Linked DNA regions of Mytilus edulis. The protein of the gene in region 2 interacts with the protein of the main gene of each other region in a biochemical or structural test. Links are inferred from orthologs where the notes say so. Each region holds a gene or a part of one and is shown on either strand. Other genes may lie near its edges.

What was found.
Region 1: the proteins of ADP-ribosylation factor-like protein 2 (region 2) and tubulin-specific chaperone D-like form a complex in vitro, tested with the Homo sapiens proteins (2 studies listed by BioGRID and IntAct). The link is inferred for Mytilus edulis from reciprocal best matches to the Homo sapiens genes ARL2 and TBCD.

What each region holds. Positions count from the first base shown.
Region 1 is NC_092352.1:73,254,898-73,263,602, reverse strand, and holds the start of tubulin-specific chaperone D-like, read right to left. Parts: upstream 4,100-8,705; 5' UTR 3,484-4,099; coding exon 3,327-3,483; intron 896-3,326; coding exon 845-895; intron 374-844; coding exon 276-373; intron 1-275.
Region 2 is NC_092346.1:19,391,353-19,400,867, forward strand, and holds the start of ADP-ribosylation factor-like protein 2, read left to right. Parts: upstream 1-5,633; 5' UTR 5,634-5,709; coding exon 5,710-5,774; intron 5,775-9,010; coding exon 9,011-9,121; intron 9,122-9,515. Other genes in the region: ribosomal protein S6 kinase delta-1-like, read right to left, coding at 481-725, 1,121-1,296, 1,950-2,065, 2,551-2,668, 3,822-3,857, 5,361-5,474. UniProt on the Homo sapiens protein: Small GTP-binding protein which cycles between an inactive GDP-bound and an active GTP-bound form, and the rate of cycling is regulated by guanine nucleotide exchange factors (GEF) and GTPase-activating proteins (GAP).

The DNA.
Region 1 (8,705 bases), on a different chromosome or scaffold from region 2:
TCTGGTTTTTTTTCACTTTTGAATGTCCAGTTGTTCATGTTGTTTAGCAGGTTATGTTGCACAGATTTCTTATTACTAGTAAAGGCTAAAAGATACAGGCCTTTGAATGTCATGTGAATCAATGTGTTTTGGTGATGTGTGCATTAGAAGACTCTGATAAGTGGAAGACAGTTTCTGGTTATTGACATGTACCCTAATGTATGCATTTGAAGCTTAAGGTTAAATGAATCAGTGGGTTTGGTGATAAAGGATGTCTGGTAACCATGGTAACTCACCTTTGTTATAAAATACAGACATTTGAAGGTCAGATGAATCAGTGGGTTTGGTGATGAAGGATTTCTAATGATCTCTAACAGCTGTGTCATCAACGATTCTACAAAAGGAATGTAAAATGTGAAAATCTTTTAATGTAAACTTTCTTATAATTTTGGAGAAAAAAAAACTCTTTTAACTCATCTTGAATAAGAATTTATAAACTACTGAATACATATACTGGCTAAAATACGGATTCATTATTTAAGGGGGAATCAATTTTCATGGATTGAGGAACAATTTTGTTTTATAGTATATTTGATTTCATGATTTTGTGCATGTTTGCTTACATGCGTTTAAAAATTACTGCTTTGTTGGACAGGATTATCCCTAACCCACAAAATCCATCAAAATTGGTTATATCAACAAATAGTACTTATGATTCCAAAGCAGCTCATTACAGGGGAAGCTTATTGTTAACAGTTTCAAGATGTATATGTATACAGAAAATAACACTACCGCAGGTGGGACAATCAATAAACGTTTACCTAGATGTCTAAGACAATCTATACATATATATCAGAAAACATACCTAAATGTCCATCTATTAGATGAGGCTGTTCTTGGTACTTGTCAACAATAACTGTAAAATAGAGACTAGTATAAACATGATAAACTTTACCCATCACATGATAAACTTTACCCGTCACATGATCTCACCAAGTCTTGTGTGATAATGCACATCATAAACATGATAAACTTTACCCGTCACATGATCTCACCAAGTCTTGTGTGATAATGCACATCATAAACATGATAAACTTTACCCGTCACATGATCTCACCAAGTCTTGTGTGATAATGCATATCATAAACATGATAATCATTAGTGTTCCAGCTAGGATTCCAAAAGGGCAGGGTGCCAATCCTGAAAAAGGGCATTTAACGCGTAATATGATAATATGAAAAGGGCATGTTTTAATAAAGATATTATTTATCAAACATTGTGTTTATTCATTGAATCACTGGTTACACAAGAGCAACATCATAAGTCCATTTAGAACTCTATCTTTCTACTTTTAAGGCTGAAAAACTTGTCAAACAGCTTGTCAGACAAGTTTTTAGTTCATTGATTGGCACAGTTGAGCTTTATATGCAGTATGTTTTGAAAGGTGACCTGCTTCATTCTGTTTCTATGGTCTGACACACTTTACCAGTTTCACATTTCTACCTCTGCTGTGCTTAATGGCAATACAGCACAAAACAGCTGTGTGCAGTGTTAGGATATAGCAACAGTGAAAATTTGTATTAAAAATAAAGAATACAGAAAAAGATGACCAAGACACCCTACCAACACTGCTACTAAGACCCTCTTTAACTTTTCCCATAACTCAAAATACTTAAACATATATATTCTTAAGCAAGAAGTATGAAGACATATTTTAGAATATGTTAAGTGGGTTACTCAATGCTATGAAATAATCAGATTGAGTTATCTTTCTTTATTCAGGTGTGCTCCTTCTTTGGAGGATTATAAACAGTACTTAGAAGATGTAAATATGATCAACAATAATATGAGGGCAGTCAATAACAAATACGTCTGAATTTGCTATTTATTTCACGGAGAACCAGTAGAACGATGTCTTCCACGAGTTGTTTATGGTTTTCAACTTTCTGTCATTACATTTTCTCCATGAAACTACGGTAAACATTGCAAATTGTGCCTAAGTTGTCGTATGCACATTTCTTCAAATATAATTGCAGATTGACCGATTCTATTTGAATGAATTAATGTTGATGATCATTAATGACCCATCCGATAAACGGATTACCTATAACAACAGATTATGACACCAGTTAAAACCGTTGATTAGCTTGGGGTCGTAAACAAAGTCATAACTTATCGCCAGGTAAAATTTAGTAATTAGCGGATCATATCATTAATAGGAACAAAATAATATACAATCGATCTTCAAAAGCCAGGGCGCCCTGGAAACTGTAAAAAGGGCACAGGGTGGCATTCAGGAAGGGCGGGCACCGCGCCCTCTGAAAACGGCCTAGAGGGAACACTGATCATGATAATACGTAACATTGTATAAAGCAACATTTAAATCCTTATTAAATAATAAATAACTATCCCATACCTGTCTACTTTAAATTAAAAAAAAATCTCCATTGTGTTTTCCAAGATCACTTTAGTCTTTAGAATTTTGCACGTTTTTTCAAATTAAATTCTCCCCCAAGGGTGACTGGAGAATAGAAATATGGTCACTTGGTCTTCTACCGACCGGCAATAAAACGCTTGCCGAAGTGAGGCGTCCGTTTGGCTGTGCGGGATGTATTACAGAGTTCACGAAAAGTGTCAGTCCTCAGGATTTTACCACCAAAATTTTCATCTATAGGACAGACACAATTTTAGTATTTTTCAATAGAATTAGTAGTGAGGACCAGTAGATTTTCTTCATGGACCACCAGGGAAAAAAAGATTTCGCGAACTCTGGTATTAAGTTCACAGTCACGTCCGGTTAGAATTGGGACGTTAAATTTGATGTCTCGTGTATAGAGAGTGCCACGCTCTTTGCACGTTAAGAACCCTTACAACAACTTGTTGAGGGCCCGTAGGTGGCCTGTTGTAAGGCAAAATTTCTGTCCCTATCCAATATACCCTCATTTTCAAGTGGCAGTCGAAATTTCCCTGACTATCATCCCTTATGGCCTCTATTATGACAAGACCTACCTATTGTATTTATTGTGAACTTGTTCTCGTCCTGAATATGCATGAAATATTTACCACTGGACGTTAAGCAACCAACAATCAATCAATCAATCAAATTAAGTTCTGGATTTCGAAATCAGATCCCCCTTTTTTTCTTTTATGTTTATAGTTGGGCACTGTTGTTCAATTCTACTTTTCATGCCTCACAAATCTGAACTTTTAAAAGGTATTGGTCATAATTTCTGATTGAAATATGTATTCAATTAAATTATGTTTGATCATGTTAAACTATTTTTAATGAGTCATGAGTTATGTTTGTTTGTCTATCAGTGTTACACATTTTATCGTAGCTTTCTTACATGTAAATCTCTCGACAGTGGTTTCAACTGCTACCTGGTCTTTAAATATATCTTTCAGATTATCTATCAGTCCTTTGATTTCATTGATTTCCTTGAATTCTTCAAGTATGTGGCCTTTTCCAATTTCTTTTTCATCGTCTTCGATGTTGTCCGCCATGCTTAGGAATCGAATAACATTACGGCCTTTTTCTGTTGATGTATCGGAAAAATACGAGAGAAATCGGGTTTTGCTGCATTATCTGCCCTTGATTTTCGCGGTTTTTTTTCCAAGTCAATTCGGCTCTTTCGGCAGTTATTTAAAATGTTTAAATTTAAAAACGCCAATCGATATTAAATTCGACACCTGACAGCATTTTCAAAAGTGATAATCCAAAGAGAAATGATTGGTACATCGTTAAAAAATAACAGTAAGAATCAGGAAACATTAAAGATATTGAATACTAGATATATGATATCATATGTTTTTGTGAGGGGAGTGGTTCCGGATACAATATTGTAAGGCACTTCAATTAAAGCCAAAGACAGAAAAAAACAATTAACAATGTATGAATAGATGTAGACATAATTTCAATAAAACATGTATCACATCAAAACATCCTAACTACATTGTAGACAGTAAAAAGTAAAATCACTAAAATACTAAACTTTCACTAAATGGACAAATCACTTTGTTCTTCCTATTTTCGCATTTTGCTTAACAGCATCTTATTCAGTATCCGTCATTTTTTTATTGGTAATCAAGAATCCGCCACAAATTCTGTATTCTTGGTACCCTAAAACGAGAATAAATTACCCGCTAAAAAGCCCGTTATACTGTAATTAATCTATAATTATCTTGGAAATATGTCGTGGTAGACCCAGTAATAATAATAAACTCATCATATATACCAGGATTGAAATTTTCAATTTAATTGCGCCATACGCCGCACTTTTCGTCAACATATGACTCATCATGCAGGGACGCTCATATAACGAATCTGAACAAATGTCGGTCAGTCAATTTGAACCAATTCCTAAAAAAATAAAGCGAAAAAGTTTCCCCAAATTTATGCTATGTAGTATTTTTTTTCCTTCAAATATTTATAAACACACACAATGTGATAAGAAAACAACAAAAATACCCAGAAATATCCTTTCATTTTTATATTTTGACTCATTTTACAAACCTGCACAACATTTCGTTACGGAAGTTATTAGTAAAGAAAGAACAGAAAAAGATGATATAACTGACGGACCTGTATTATAATTTTCTTCTTTTAAATGTAATTTTTATGCTTTTTATAAAAAAAAATATGTATAGGATCATGCATCAATTTGAAGTATATTTCAAAATTAATCTTGGAAGAACACTCCTTTTGTTTTTACGCATACCAAATAATTGATAGCTTGAATACCATACAGATGTGCATCATGTGAAGAATGAGGCCCCTCATGGGGGTCCTAGTAATCACATAATCACCATTTTTTTGCCAATATAATCACATAATCATTAAATATTTGCTTATCTTTAGTAATCAAATAATCATAAACTAAAAATACAGTCCTAGGTAATCAAATAATCATAAAATATTTGGCTTAATAATCAAATAATCATTAAAAAAACGGCCAAGTAATCACATAATCAAAAACCCCATGAGGGCCCTCAAGAATGTAGCTCAATTTTATTACAACAACAAAGTATGCATCCCACCAACATGTTTAACACCACCACATTATTTTTGTATGTGCCTCTCCCAAGTCAGGAGCCTGCAATTCAGTGGTTGTCGTTTGTTTATGTGTTACATATTTTATTTTTTTTCGTTCATTTTTTTACATAAATAATTTTTTTTCTCGTTTGAATTGTTTTACTTTGTCTTATCGGGGCCTTTTATAGCTGACTATGCGGTATGGGCTTTGCTCATTGTTGAAGGCCGTACGGTGACCTATAGTTGTTAATGTCTGTGTAATTTTTATCTCTTGTGGACAGCTATCTCATTGGCAATCATACCATATCTTCTTTTTTATATATATCATATTTCCCCCCAAAAAAAGTATAACATTCGCAATTGACATGAACCGCTTTGCCTTTATTAAGATGAAAACACTGAATTTGTGTTAAGGAAGTTAAAATGCAAATGAACAGTCAAGAATCTTAGTGAAAACACAATAAACAATGATAACTTCATTCATCAAATTTTTTTTTATGATCTCATGCATTTAATTCCTTTACATCAAATTTAAATCTGATTCGTTTCAATTTTCCTCCGACTCGTGGTCTTTTAATACAGTAAGTATGTTATTTTTTTACTTCTCTAGGTCACATGTGTATTTTGTTTAAAAAATGAAGTTCAGTTCTTCATCTTTGGTTGAAATTCGAAAGGAACACGTACATGACAAACCCACGATTATTCAGGATTTTCACTTTGGTAAGTGTTTTGGGAGAATATGCTGACTATCGATGTCAATAGTCAATACCTTATTCCTGTATCAAGCATTTAATGTAATGTGGATATCGCACTAAAACAATGATGTTTGAGGCTTTATCAACGGGGATAATAAAGTATTTTTGATTGAGGTAAAACATAATTATTATGGTTAGCAATATTTGGGTTTTAAATCGATGTCTTGTTTTTCGGTTAAAGACCATTGCCTGGTATAATTCTCGACTGAATCTATTAGTATATTAAAGTTGTGTTACCATCTGATATATTTGCAGTGGCGAATACAAAACTTTTCATAAGGGGAGCCCGTTCCAGTCATGCTTCAGTGATTCCCTATATAATCAACCAAATTTTCCTCACAAAAACAGGGGCGTGCCCCTAGCCATATTTTGCACTTTTGAATCACACATCTTGCAGATTTTGACAATGTTCTGTTATCTATGAATAAGGGAATAGCACATGGCTGGAGTCACGTTTATTTTTGAAAGTCGTCAACTTTTAAATTGCAATAGGCTTGCTATAGGTAAATATTTTCTGTCCTTTGGTCTTGTCTGTTTGAAACATCCCCCATCCCCCATTTTCATTCTTAAGTAAGAGATGATAGGTACGTAATCAACTAAGTAAGGAGGTATTCAGTTTAGATTGAACTGATTTAAGATGAATGTTATTGCCTTAGTTGATGTAATCGAGATATTTCATGGCAAAGAAAATTCCATAAAGGTATAAATATAATTCTCCAATTCATTTTTTTGAATGCAAACCAGTCTGAAAAGGACGTGACTTCCGCTGTCGGAAATGAGCGCTGTAAGTTTGTTTTAGTTTGAATGCGGATATGTATAATTAAGATTTTCAAACATAAGTTTCACGGAGAATGAATTTTGGTAAGCGCTTGTGAATAAAAAATGTACAGATGTAGTTGGTACCGTTTGTCATAAAGCTTTTACAGTAAGTAGAAATGTTTGTCGTCTTATTGTCTTGGTGGTGCTGTGTCGTCAATTTGGTTTGACAATGATTACGTAAGTTATTAGACTAACCATTTTTGGAACACTTTATGAACGCACCTCCTCCAAGACCATCATTGATAGAATACCGTCATATCATAATCTATTTGACCATTTTTACATCGCGTCGATGACCGTGAGGGCATTCCGATGTATTGTTGCAACATGTATGTATGTATTGTCTTCGAGATTCCTACCAGTGTAGACGAACCCCTTGATTGACTGCAATGGTACTGAGGATTCCTGCACACTCCCTAAGGATTAATGGAGATGTGTCCTTTACATAATAAACCCACCACCAGAACAATCACCACCCAACACCACCAAAGGGAGCGTGTAGGACACCGGGAAGTCTGTTATTATGTTGGAGGAAGCCGAAGTACTCGGAGAGAACCACCGGGCTTTTCGGCGGGAACAGACAACCCGAAGAGATTTCAGAAGATTGATTTTCAGGTCAAGCTGGGAACAACTTTGTCCTACCGATCGCGAGGTATTCAATCTAGTTTAAACTCCAGTCTGGATACCAGAGATGTGTGTGGAAGGGTGAAAATCACCCTACTGATGTACTGAAAATTCGACGTCTCGAGTGAGAATCGAACTCGGGACCTTCAGCACTGTAGCCATCGGTCTTAACCAATAGACCACAAACCCACACAGAGGTTTGACTTTCGTTTTTAACCGACCGTATAAATTCGCGGACAATATCGAGTGCAAAATAACAGTCATTAAAAATTATTTATTCAATAAATAATCATAAACATATTTTTTTAGAACATAAATTAATAATATAAAAATGATTTGTCGTTAGAAATATATATAAAGGTAAATAATCATTAATATCTATGCACACTACTCGTACCAAAAATAATACATTTGATGTCATTGTTTAATTAAACTAACCAACAAAGGAGTATGGCTTCGAAGTGCCTATATTGGCCGAAATGAAAGTTTTGTTGAAAGAAAAATGTATTAAGACCCTTTTGAGCCAAAATTTACTTGTCTATAAGTTTGTATTATAAAACTTGACATTGAGGATTAATGCGCTACATAGTGTAACGGAGGGGGTCGGTGAAGACACCTCCCGGCACGTGTAGTGGCCAGTACTTCGCCCCTATTCGACCATCGGGATACCTGATATCAGATTATGGCTGAACAACAGACAATAAATCAAATGAAACAAATTTTATTCACAAATGTACAATAATTGAATCAAACAAAGTCGGAAATAAACAGAGTATATAAATTTCTTAAAAGAGGGACGAAAGATACCAAAGGGACAGTCAAGCTCATAAATCTAAAACAAACTGACAACGCCATGGCTAAAAATGAAAAAAGACAAACAGAAAAACAATAGTAAACATTACACAACACAGAAAACTAAAGAATAAACAACACGAACCCCATAAAAAACTAGGGGTGATCTTAAATGATGTTCAAAATTAGAGTTTTATTTAATTTCAAATGTAAAATGAAAATAAAGTGTTCCCAGAGATAGTCTTAAAAGTTAAGCCAATTAGCTTCGCGTTGTGTTTTAAAGTAGTAAAATTTGCACCAAAAAGGGGTGACTAACTCTGGCAAACTGCACCGAAGTGGTGGCTAATCCTCTATGCTCCGGTGGTACTATTTTAGTTCCCGAGAGCCTCGAGTGGAATGATACATTCCGGCGAGTATTTGGAGGCCTATGCAAGGCCGACTCCGACTGAATATCAAATGAAATTCTATAAACTTGTCATTAATCAAACTAACTTTAATAGAAAAGATACTGAAGCAAGTTGAATAAATGAATATTCTTAAAACACTATAAAACATCAAAAGTTAAATACTTTTAAAAACAGTAAAATAAACAATCCTTACTTTATTTAGTCTTACTATGTTTATATCAAATTAAACTTATATATAGTAAAATAAACATTTAAATACTAAATAATTAATCTGTCAAAATTAAGGGGAATTAACCT
Region 2 (9,515 bases):
TCCAGGTAAAAAAAAGTGATATATCCTGACCTAAAAGAGAATTTCTGCAAATTCAAATGTTTGAAGAGAAGTTAAATATGGACAAGACCTTTGCCAAACATGAAACAATCTTATAGAAGTAAACAACATTGAGACATCAACCCTACAATACAAATAAAACAAATTATATTTAAAGGTAACATAAAGCCTAACAGCTGTCAAAACAAAATGCCAATCTCTAAATAGTTTGAGTCTAAATAGTTGTGAATAATTTAAACAGAAATTATCTTCAATATTCTGTCATCAACAATAAAACTTGCCAAATAGTTTAATACAACACTTCTTGTTGGATTGCTTGGTTCGTAAGTTAAGAGAATATGGGATAAAAAAAAAACAACAGAAAATGAGAGCAAGTAAGCACTATGCTTTGAATTTAATGCAGACTGTTAAAGTAAATTTAAATTATTATTATAAGCAAAACAAAATGCAATAATATTTTACCTGCACAAGTATCCATTGCAGCAAACAGCCAACTACTGCTTGTCTTTAGCCCTGGAGTTGGAGGTCCTAGGTCATCTGATTTTAAAGGATCAAATGAAGTAATGTCCAGCTCAGGTAATGAGGTACTTAACATGGACTCAGCATCTATAGCTTCTGAATCATCAGTATCATCAAAGGAGTTCAGACTGATGTTGTCAGGAACTCGGGGGAAATTCCATACTCCTTCTAAACTTTCATCTGTGTCACTGTAAAAAAAAGAAAATAAATATGTCCATAGTGATTTGTCAAATTCAACCAGTTCTTTAGAATTGACAAGACAAGATCTAAATAAAAAATCTAAAATAAATATTTCTTCTTCACAAGATTGAAAAATTTGCTTAATATTGCCATTATTTGTTTTATCAATTGAAATTATAAAACAGCTACTCACTACTAAGTCAATGAAAAAGTTTATAATTTAAATTAATTTTGATTGATTGGTGTTTAATGTACTTTTAACACTTTTGTGATATATCCTGCCTATCAGTTTTTATTGTTGTAGGAATCCGGAGTGCCCAGAGAGAACCACCAACCTTTGGTTGGAAAATAAATTTTGAAATGAATGTATAAACTATGTAAAATTTTGTATCTTTTCACTTACCCATTCTCTTGTTGTGAACTATTCCCGTTACTGTTTTCTTCATCAGGAGGATGTTTGACTGGTTGTATGGGTTCCGTCTCTTTCTTTTTATTATTTTGTGGATTAGCTGACTGCATTATGTCCAGTTTTGATGGCTTTAATACTTTACCAGATACTCCTTCTTTAACTTTTCCACCCTTTAAGAAAGAAATAAATGAATTATTTCATGATCACAAGAATATCTACTCACATTTTAAGAGCAGAGAGCAATAATGGCATTATTTAACAAAGTTTTTAACTGAAATTTGTATCCTATATCCTAATTTGGCCAATTTGATAAGATACTTCAGGACTTGCTTTTCCGTTTGAATTTCCCTGCTTACAAGGAAGATAATTAACCTAGTGTTCTTTATGAGGAGTTAAAGTCACCTCTTTAAATTTATAGGACAACATGATTTGGGTGACTTTTGTGTGTAGTTTTGTGGAATGTTGTCTTCTCTTTCTTTTAGTCATATAGTTAACTAATTTTTTGTTTACAGTTTTTAAATTTAATCCTGGTATCTTCTTACTTTTTTGTTTAAATAACATTTTTAATTGTGTCAATTGATACATGCCTTAGAAGTCTTCTAAAAAATCTTATATATGACTTCTTTGAAAATGTCCTTTTTTTGGTTTAGAGGAAATTTTTTATATTCCCTCTAAACCAAAAATAGGACATTTTCAAAGAAGTCATACATAAGATTTTTTAGACAACATGATTTGGGTGACTTTTATTTTACATTTTCAATAATTAGCACATTCTGACTGCTCTTTTCAAAGAAAACAATCATTTTTACAATGTTTCACAAACCTTAAGAAATTCTTCAAAAATTTTAGAGTTATATAAATGTGGCTGACTTCCTATGAAGACTAAGAGATCTATGGCACTTTTTCTTCTTTCTTCAATAACTGTTTCTTCAAACCTTCCTGTATAAGCATGAAAAAAATTACACAGTTGATTAGATCGGGTAGTTTAAGAACTCTTTAAACTTCCTTTATCCTGAACTAATGGCAAAATATAACATCCAATTGTATATACATCTTATCATAAAAATTTCTAATAGTAATTTAAATGATGGCAAAATATGACATGCAATTGTAAATAATTCTCATCATAAAAATTTAACAAAAGTAATTTAAAGAGAGGCGGCATATTGAATTGACTGAATTTTAAATTCAATATAATAAATCTGCTGCATATTTCTAAACATATTTTCAACAGGCAAAGACATACTCAAATATTACACTTGATTTAATGCAGTTATACATAGTAATCTTTGGAACTATATAATTCTTTAGGTCTTATTTGGATAAATGAATAAATCGTTGCCAGGCTTATCTGCTAAAAAAAGTAAACACATCAAAAGAGTATCTGAGAAAATAATTTTGTTCACATAAAACATGAACCATACCAAACAACTTTGGTTTAGCGAATACTGGGAATGGGTTCCTTCTGTGTAAAGCTTTGTGTAAGTTTATCATTCCCTTGTATAATTCTTTAAAGTCATTATATCTCTTCCATATGATGATCTGAAAATACAAAACATAATTAAATTCTAATTTTCTGAACAAATTATAATGGATTAGATATGAAAATATATTATTATCATGGTTATTTAGTTACAAACGAATTCTACTAACTTTAGGTGAAACACTCTAAAATGTCATTCTGAATACTTAAAAAGATATATTTTCATGACAGGGTCATTTTTAGCTTGTTATTGTCCTATTTTTCAATTATTCTCTCATCATCAGCAAGAGTGATTTTAAGCTGAATCTCATTGTGACAGTGTGTATTGGAGTCTATATCCCCAGAGCTTCAGTTTTCAGTGTCGTCTGTTAACCTTACATGTAGCTGTATTTGGCAAATTAAACATATCAGAATTTTAGATCCTCAATGCTCTTCAACTTATGTTTTTGATTTGAGTATAACTAATGCGTTTTGGTAGACATCATGCACGTCTTGCATATGAAATTTTAATACTGGTATCTATGATGGGTCTATTTTTACATCGTTATTTTTAAGTATTGTCCTAGTCCTGGTGTATTAATGGATTGTATCAGTCTTAATTGGGGTTATCTAATTATGTTTTTTTCAGTCCTCTATTACAAGTTTAATACATTCTTACAATAACACTGTTATAACGTTTCTCAGGATTCAACTTTTTTGTAAAATTTTACCACCTTTTGAATTTTGCATTTTCTATGCCATGCATAATTTTTCACAGTACATTGTACCAGCAATGTCAAATCTATTCATGAAACAAGAATGTGTCTCCAGTACATGGATGCCCCATCCGCACTATCATTTTCTATGTTCAGTGGACCGTGAAAATTGGGTAAAAACTCTAATTTGACATTAAAATTAGAAAGATCATATCAACAGGTACTAAGTTTCAAAATGATTGGACTTCAACTTTATAAAAAACTACCTTGACCAAAAACTTTAACCTGAAGCATAACAGACAGACTAACGAATGGACGGACAGACAGACGAACGAACAGACCCACAGACCAGAAAACATAATGCCCATAAATGAGACATAACAACATCAAAAAGGTTCAATTTTCATTCCAAAAGGAAGGATGGGTCATTCACTTTACTTTATTGTTTTGAATTGTTACTATGTCCTTGATTTTTCTGAGACATAACTATTTATTTCAAGCTGTTATTAATACAAACCTCTGTGAGCTTATCTGATTCAGACATTCTAAAAACCTAGAAATATAAAATAAAAACAGATACATAATATAATTAGATGTCAATAAAACAGTTAATCTGTAATAAAAAAACACACATTAACAATTTTTTGCACTTGCTGAATAAAAGGAGTTAATTATAAGCAGGTAAAAGGAGTGCATCACAAGAAACAGTGGCAAAGTCGATGATGCAAGAACAATGAAGCTTACTTAACAAATTAAACACGATTTAAATCTACCCGATCTATAATTTACATGTATGCTTCCTATGGCTGCTTATATTATATGTCATGTAAGACATGTAAGATGTATAATGACCTAAATTTTAAGATTTTTCTAGTTTAAATTTTTTGAAACATGTATGAATGCTTTAATTTAAAGAACAATGTTCAGTCTCCCTATTAACTTTTTTGGTAATTGTGTGCATAGAAATATTCTTTTCTTAAAACATCTGTGACAGGATTGCTATTCTTATATGTGGTAGATACTTACCGTATAGCAGGTCATTTTTGCGGGTGTAAAATTTCAAAATTTTTATTGAATAAGGTATATGCAATATTTTGACAGTTATTATTTTGGCGGATTCAAAACTTATCAATATCCCCTTTTAATTGGTGGAATTTATTTTGGCGATCTTGTTCTATCTGCCAAAAATAAGCGAAAATTTACACCCCTCAAAAATAACCCACTATACGGTATATAATTAGTCAGTCATAAGCGGTTGACCTAAGGAAGACATTAATCCTGCGCGAGCTCAGTCAGTATAGGGGCTACCTTGTAACACAGAGGTCGAGGGTTAGAGTCCCTGTGGAGACCAGTAATTTTGTAATGAAACTCATGCTCTCTGGCTACTTTGGCCCTAACTAAAAAAACTCACAGTGGTAAGGGAAGGATTCTAGCTAGGGTATGTGAGTGAGAGTCATAATGGTATGATAACTATTGAGGTGAGGGAATTATGTGTGACTGGATTGCTTTCCTTAGTAAATCACTAAATGTGGTAGATAATTAGCTCAGTCGGGATACATGCTGCCTTGTAACACAGAGGTCCAAGAATCAAGCCCCGTCGGAAACATGGTTGATTTTAAATGGAGAATCATGCTCTCCGGTCCAGTTATAACATGTACATGATTTCCTACTAATTTGTACATGTATATATATCTGCCAGGAAAAAAATATGCACCAATAACCTTTGATTGAACACCTGACACCAAGTAGCAGATGCTACAATTTTAGAAAGAATGAGTCGACCCAGTGCAGGTGGACAGGCCTAGCAGTACTAGCATTGTAGAAAACACGATTCCCAACTGGTTAAAACGTATTGTGCATTGCCAGTGCATATAGCAAACATGCGGATTTTGAGTATGTAAATACTGACACATACAAAAAAATGTAATCAGTTTCCTATCAGTTCACTGATTCTAATATTTTTTACCCGGTTTGTGACGTTGAGGGTTGTTCTTGTGGGCTAATTTTATAGGGTAACTAAGAATGATATGGAGTTCAATTACGAATTTAAACGTACTCTAATTGTAACTTTATAAATTGTGAAGCCATTTGGATGTAATGTTGGATCAGAAACATTAAAATTCCATATTTTATCTTGCACAGATGTTTGACGTTTCATTCTCGATGCCATTTTCGACTTGCGGTGTTATGTCGTAAAATCGTAATGATAAGTCTCTTCTATAAGATTGTTTTATATAAACATCCTTATTTCTTATGTTATAAATATTTTCTGTTTTCTTACAGTAAAAGACGAAAATTTCTTCATCAAATACAAAAATAATGTGTATGTCGTAAAAGTATGAGAACAACTGTATTCCTGCTCATGACTCATTAGGGGACCAGATTTAAGCATTAAATTATTAAAAATGGGACTTTTAACCATTCTTAAGAAAATGAAACAGAAAGAAAAGGAAGTCAGACTTCTGATGTTGTATCCTTTTTGTTTTACTTGTGACTTAATCATTTTGTTCTCTATTTTATATGTAAATGCACAAGATTATTCCATATTTCAATTATTTGTATCAAAAAGTGAAAAACTTGCCATTACCTATCGTGTATCGTGTTTCTTTTGGTTCTTCTTCTTCTTCTTTCAGTACAGAGTCGGACTCTTCTTGAGTGTATAAATGACTCTTGCTCGTGAAATCATGAGGCCTTCCCTCCTCACTTAATAAAAACTATTTACAGGAAAAATTATTTACAAATAAAACTATGTACATCTGGGGTCAAAGGAGATCTAGGTGTGTGAAGCTCCTGTCAAGGCCTCTGGCAGGATGGTAAGGCTGGCCTTGAACTCTTCTAGTGTAGCTGCTGTTGTGGCTTTTTCCGGTAGAGTGTTCCATTCCCTGGTTGATCTTGGGAAGAAGGAGTACCTGTATTGGTCTTTTAGAGTGCGCTGTTGGTGTATGCGGTGGCCTCCTCTGGTCCTTGAATCTCCGGGTTTGTAATAATTAGAGGGGTCAATATCCACCAATCTATTGCGGATCTTATATGCCATGGTGAGTCGGTCTTTGCAGCGGCGATCTTTAAGAGGCTCCCATTTTAGTCTCTCCATTAAGGAGCTGACACAACCTGGGGATACATCTTGGTATTCATTGTACACGAACCTAGCTGCCCTTCTCTGTACTTGTTCTAGGTCTTTTTCAAGGGTATGTTGGTAAGGGTCCCATACAGTGGAGGCATATTCCAGGGTAGGTCTGACCATGGTGATATAGGCGTTAGCTTTGACTTCTGGTTTACACCGTCCTAGGTTCCTTCTCAAAAAGCCTAGTGTCCTTGATGCTTTGCCTACCGTCTGGTTGATATGTGTCTTCCACTGTAGGTCATTGTTTATGGTGACTCCCAGGTATTTCCCATGCTCGACTGCATCTAGTGTGTGACCATGTAGTTGGTAGTTCGTTATCAGTGGGTTTCTTTTGTTGGTAATCCGTATCACGATGCATTTCTCAGGATGGAAATTCATCTGCCATTGTGATTCCCACTCTTGGAGTTTGTTAAGGTCGTCTTGGAGTGTCTCGCTATCCTTTATATTCTTTATTTTTCTGTAAACTAGGCAATCGTCTGCAAATAACCTTGCCTCAGAAGATGTTGATTGTGGCAGGTCATTAATATAAGCCAGAAATAATAGGGGTCCGATGACTGTTCCCTGAGGCACCCCTGAGATGACGTCTAGGGGGCCAGACTTATGCCCTTCAAGCAATACGGATTGTGTTCTCTTGCTTAGGAAGTCTTGTATCCATTTGAGTGTTACTCCACGTATTCCGTAATAGTCCATTTTTTGGAGGAGTCTCTTGTGGGGCACTTTGTCAAAGGCTTTGGAGAAATCAAGCAGGTTAGTACTTCGCTTAAGGGTTAGTAATGAAAGGCGTGTGTTCATATCAAATTGTATTCAAATTATGCATTGAACTTTGCGCACAAGTCAACGTTACGTAAACTTGCAATATTCAACGTAAACAATACACCTTATCACTAATACCGGCTGACCCGGCCGCTTGAACTTGTGACGCATACAACAATCACTTTTCCATTGTGGCGTCAGATATTTTGTTTTATGACGTCAAAATATTACGGGAACCTGTGTGATATCCAGTAATGGCGGATAAATAGCGATAAGGTGTATAGGTAACGTTAGTGATGTTAGTTACTTAGTAAATGTACAGCAGCTAATACTTGAGACTGGGGGCGCTGAAAAATGAAAATTAATCTAAAATTATTAAAAAGAAATGAGCATACAAAGTGTGAAATGATAATTAACCATTTAAAGTCCATGTTATAAAATAGAAATTGTTGAATTGTCTATTCAGTATGATCATTATCAAAATTATGGCACACTTGATAAGTATATTGTCATGAAAATATTAAGTCCATGTTTGAATCTTTAGCTTGGCTTCAGTTTTACTCGGTGCTCTGTCTCCGTGAATTTTCATCATTTCTGGTTCCCTGCTTAATGTGTGTATCCTACCATTATTCTTCATTGTGTTGCTGTTTGATTGATACATCTCACAAAAGTCTTTGTTAATTTCAGTTGAATTGTCAGATACAACTCCCATTGATTCGATTTTCCCAAAACGTTTCAAATCGACTTCTTCTGTTTTGTGTTGTAACATGAAAAATGAGGATGTGGGTCCAGCTGAGGCTTTCATTGGTCCAGAAAGTAGGTATCCGAGTTTCGATTCTACTGCGGTCGGGCCTGGTCCACAGATAACTGTGTCTTCTACGATATCCCAGTAGTAATCCGAACCTATTAAAAATGAAATCCTGAATTTATCCATGTCCCTAACAGAATGCGCTAATCTAAGTCTACTGAGGTAAGGCAGTTTGGTAGAATTATCGAGTCGATGATAATGTACATGTATATGATATCTGTTTTAGGTTTATTGTTTAGTGATGTTGTAAATTTTCAGAAAAGTGCACACATAGAAAAATAGTGTATGGGAGCTGAGACTACTATAACACATAGTTATGTGTTTATTATAGTAGTCTCAGATAGGAGAGACATTTTAAACCCCTAACATGCAATATCCTTCATCCCTCTTCAGGTTTGGAGACTTTTGTAGTTGATCTGCAACACTTGATTTTAGACAATAGTCACATACTTATTGAACAATTGTGGTCAGCTGGTGTTCACATGTACTATATATTTACCTGATAAATAAAGTACTTGGATAAAACTGTAAAACCAATTGGTTTGATATGCTTCCATAGGGAGCATAAAGGGTAGAACAGTTGAATTGGATCTTCTTTAATAGAAGGAGAACACAGCTGGTTTACCATGTAAGTGCATCTTGGTGTTCCCCATATCTCAAACCCTCTTTAATCTTTTTCCTGGAATTAAAAATCATCAATTCCTGATATTTGGTTTCAAGCTTCATGCAAACATGGTTTAAAGTATGATACATTTTCACTCACTCATCAACTTCCTTATCGAATGAATTTACACAGATATGAACACCTATTTAGAAGATTTAAAGGTACTTTTTAAAAAGGCTTTGAACCTTTTTATATAGTTTAAAATTTGGAAAAGAGGTGTGGTGGTATAATTGCCAATGAGATAACTTTTAATCCGAGTCCAAATTATGTGGATGTCAGTATTAGACCGTGCAACGTTTCCAAAACTGATCAAGGACAATGAAGCATATCTTTTGATTATCAAACCTTAACATCATGTAGGGGATTGGACAATGCTGGAAAAACAACGATTCTAAAGAAATTTAATGGTGAAGATATAGATACAATTTCACCAACACTTGGATTTAATATCAAAACACTGGAACATAAAGGGTAAGATAACTGTCATGACTGTTTATCTTTCAGTTGGTAAGATATTCATTTTAAAAAAAACACCACAGTAACATATATGTATTGTTTCATTTTGGGATTTTAACAATTCAACTATGAGTCTTGTGAAATGGTAGATAGAATATGATATAAATATTAAAGCAGATATATATTTGGTATAAATAAATTCAGATTTGTATTTCTACAAAAAATATTACCATGATTACAAAAAACAGTTATTTCAGGAGATTAATTTTAAGAGAACAAGCTAGAGAGTTAAAACTTGAATAATCTTCATGAACGAATATTCAAGTTAGTGGGCTGTGAATCTTAAGGCACAATTTTACATGCAAAAAAAGAATAATTATTATTAAATGAATTCAAAGATACTATTTGA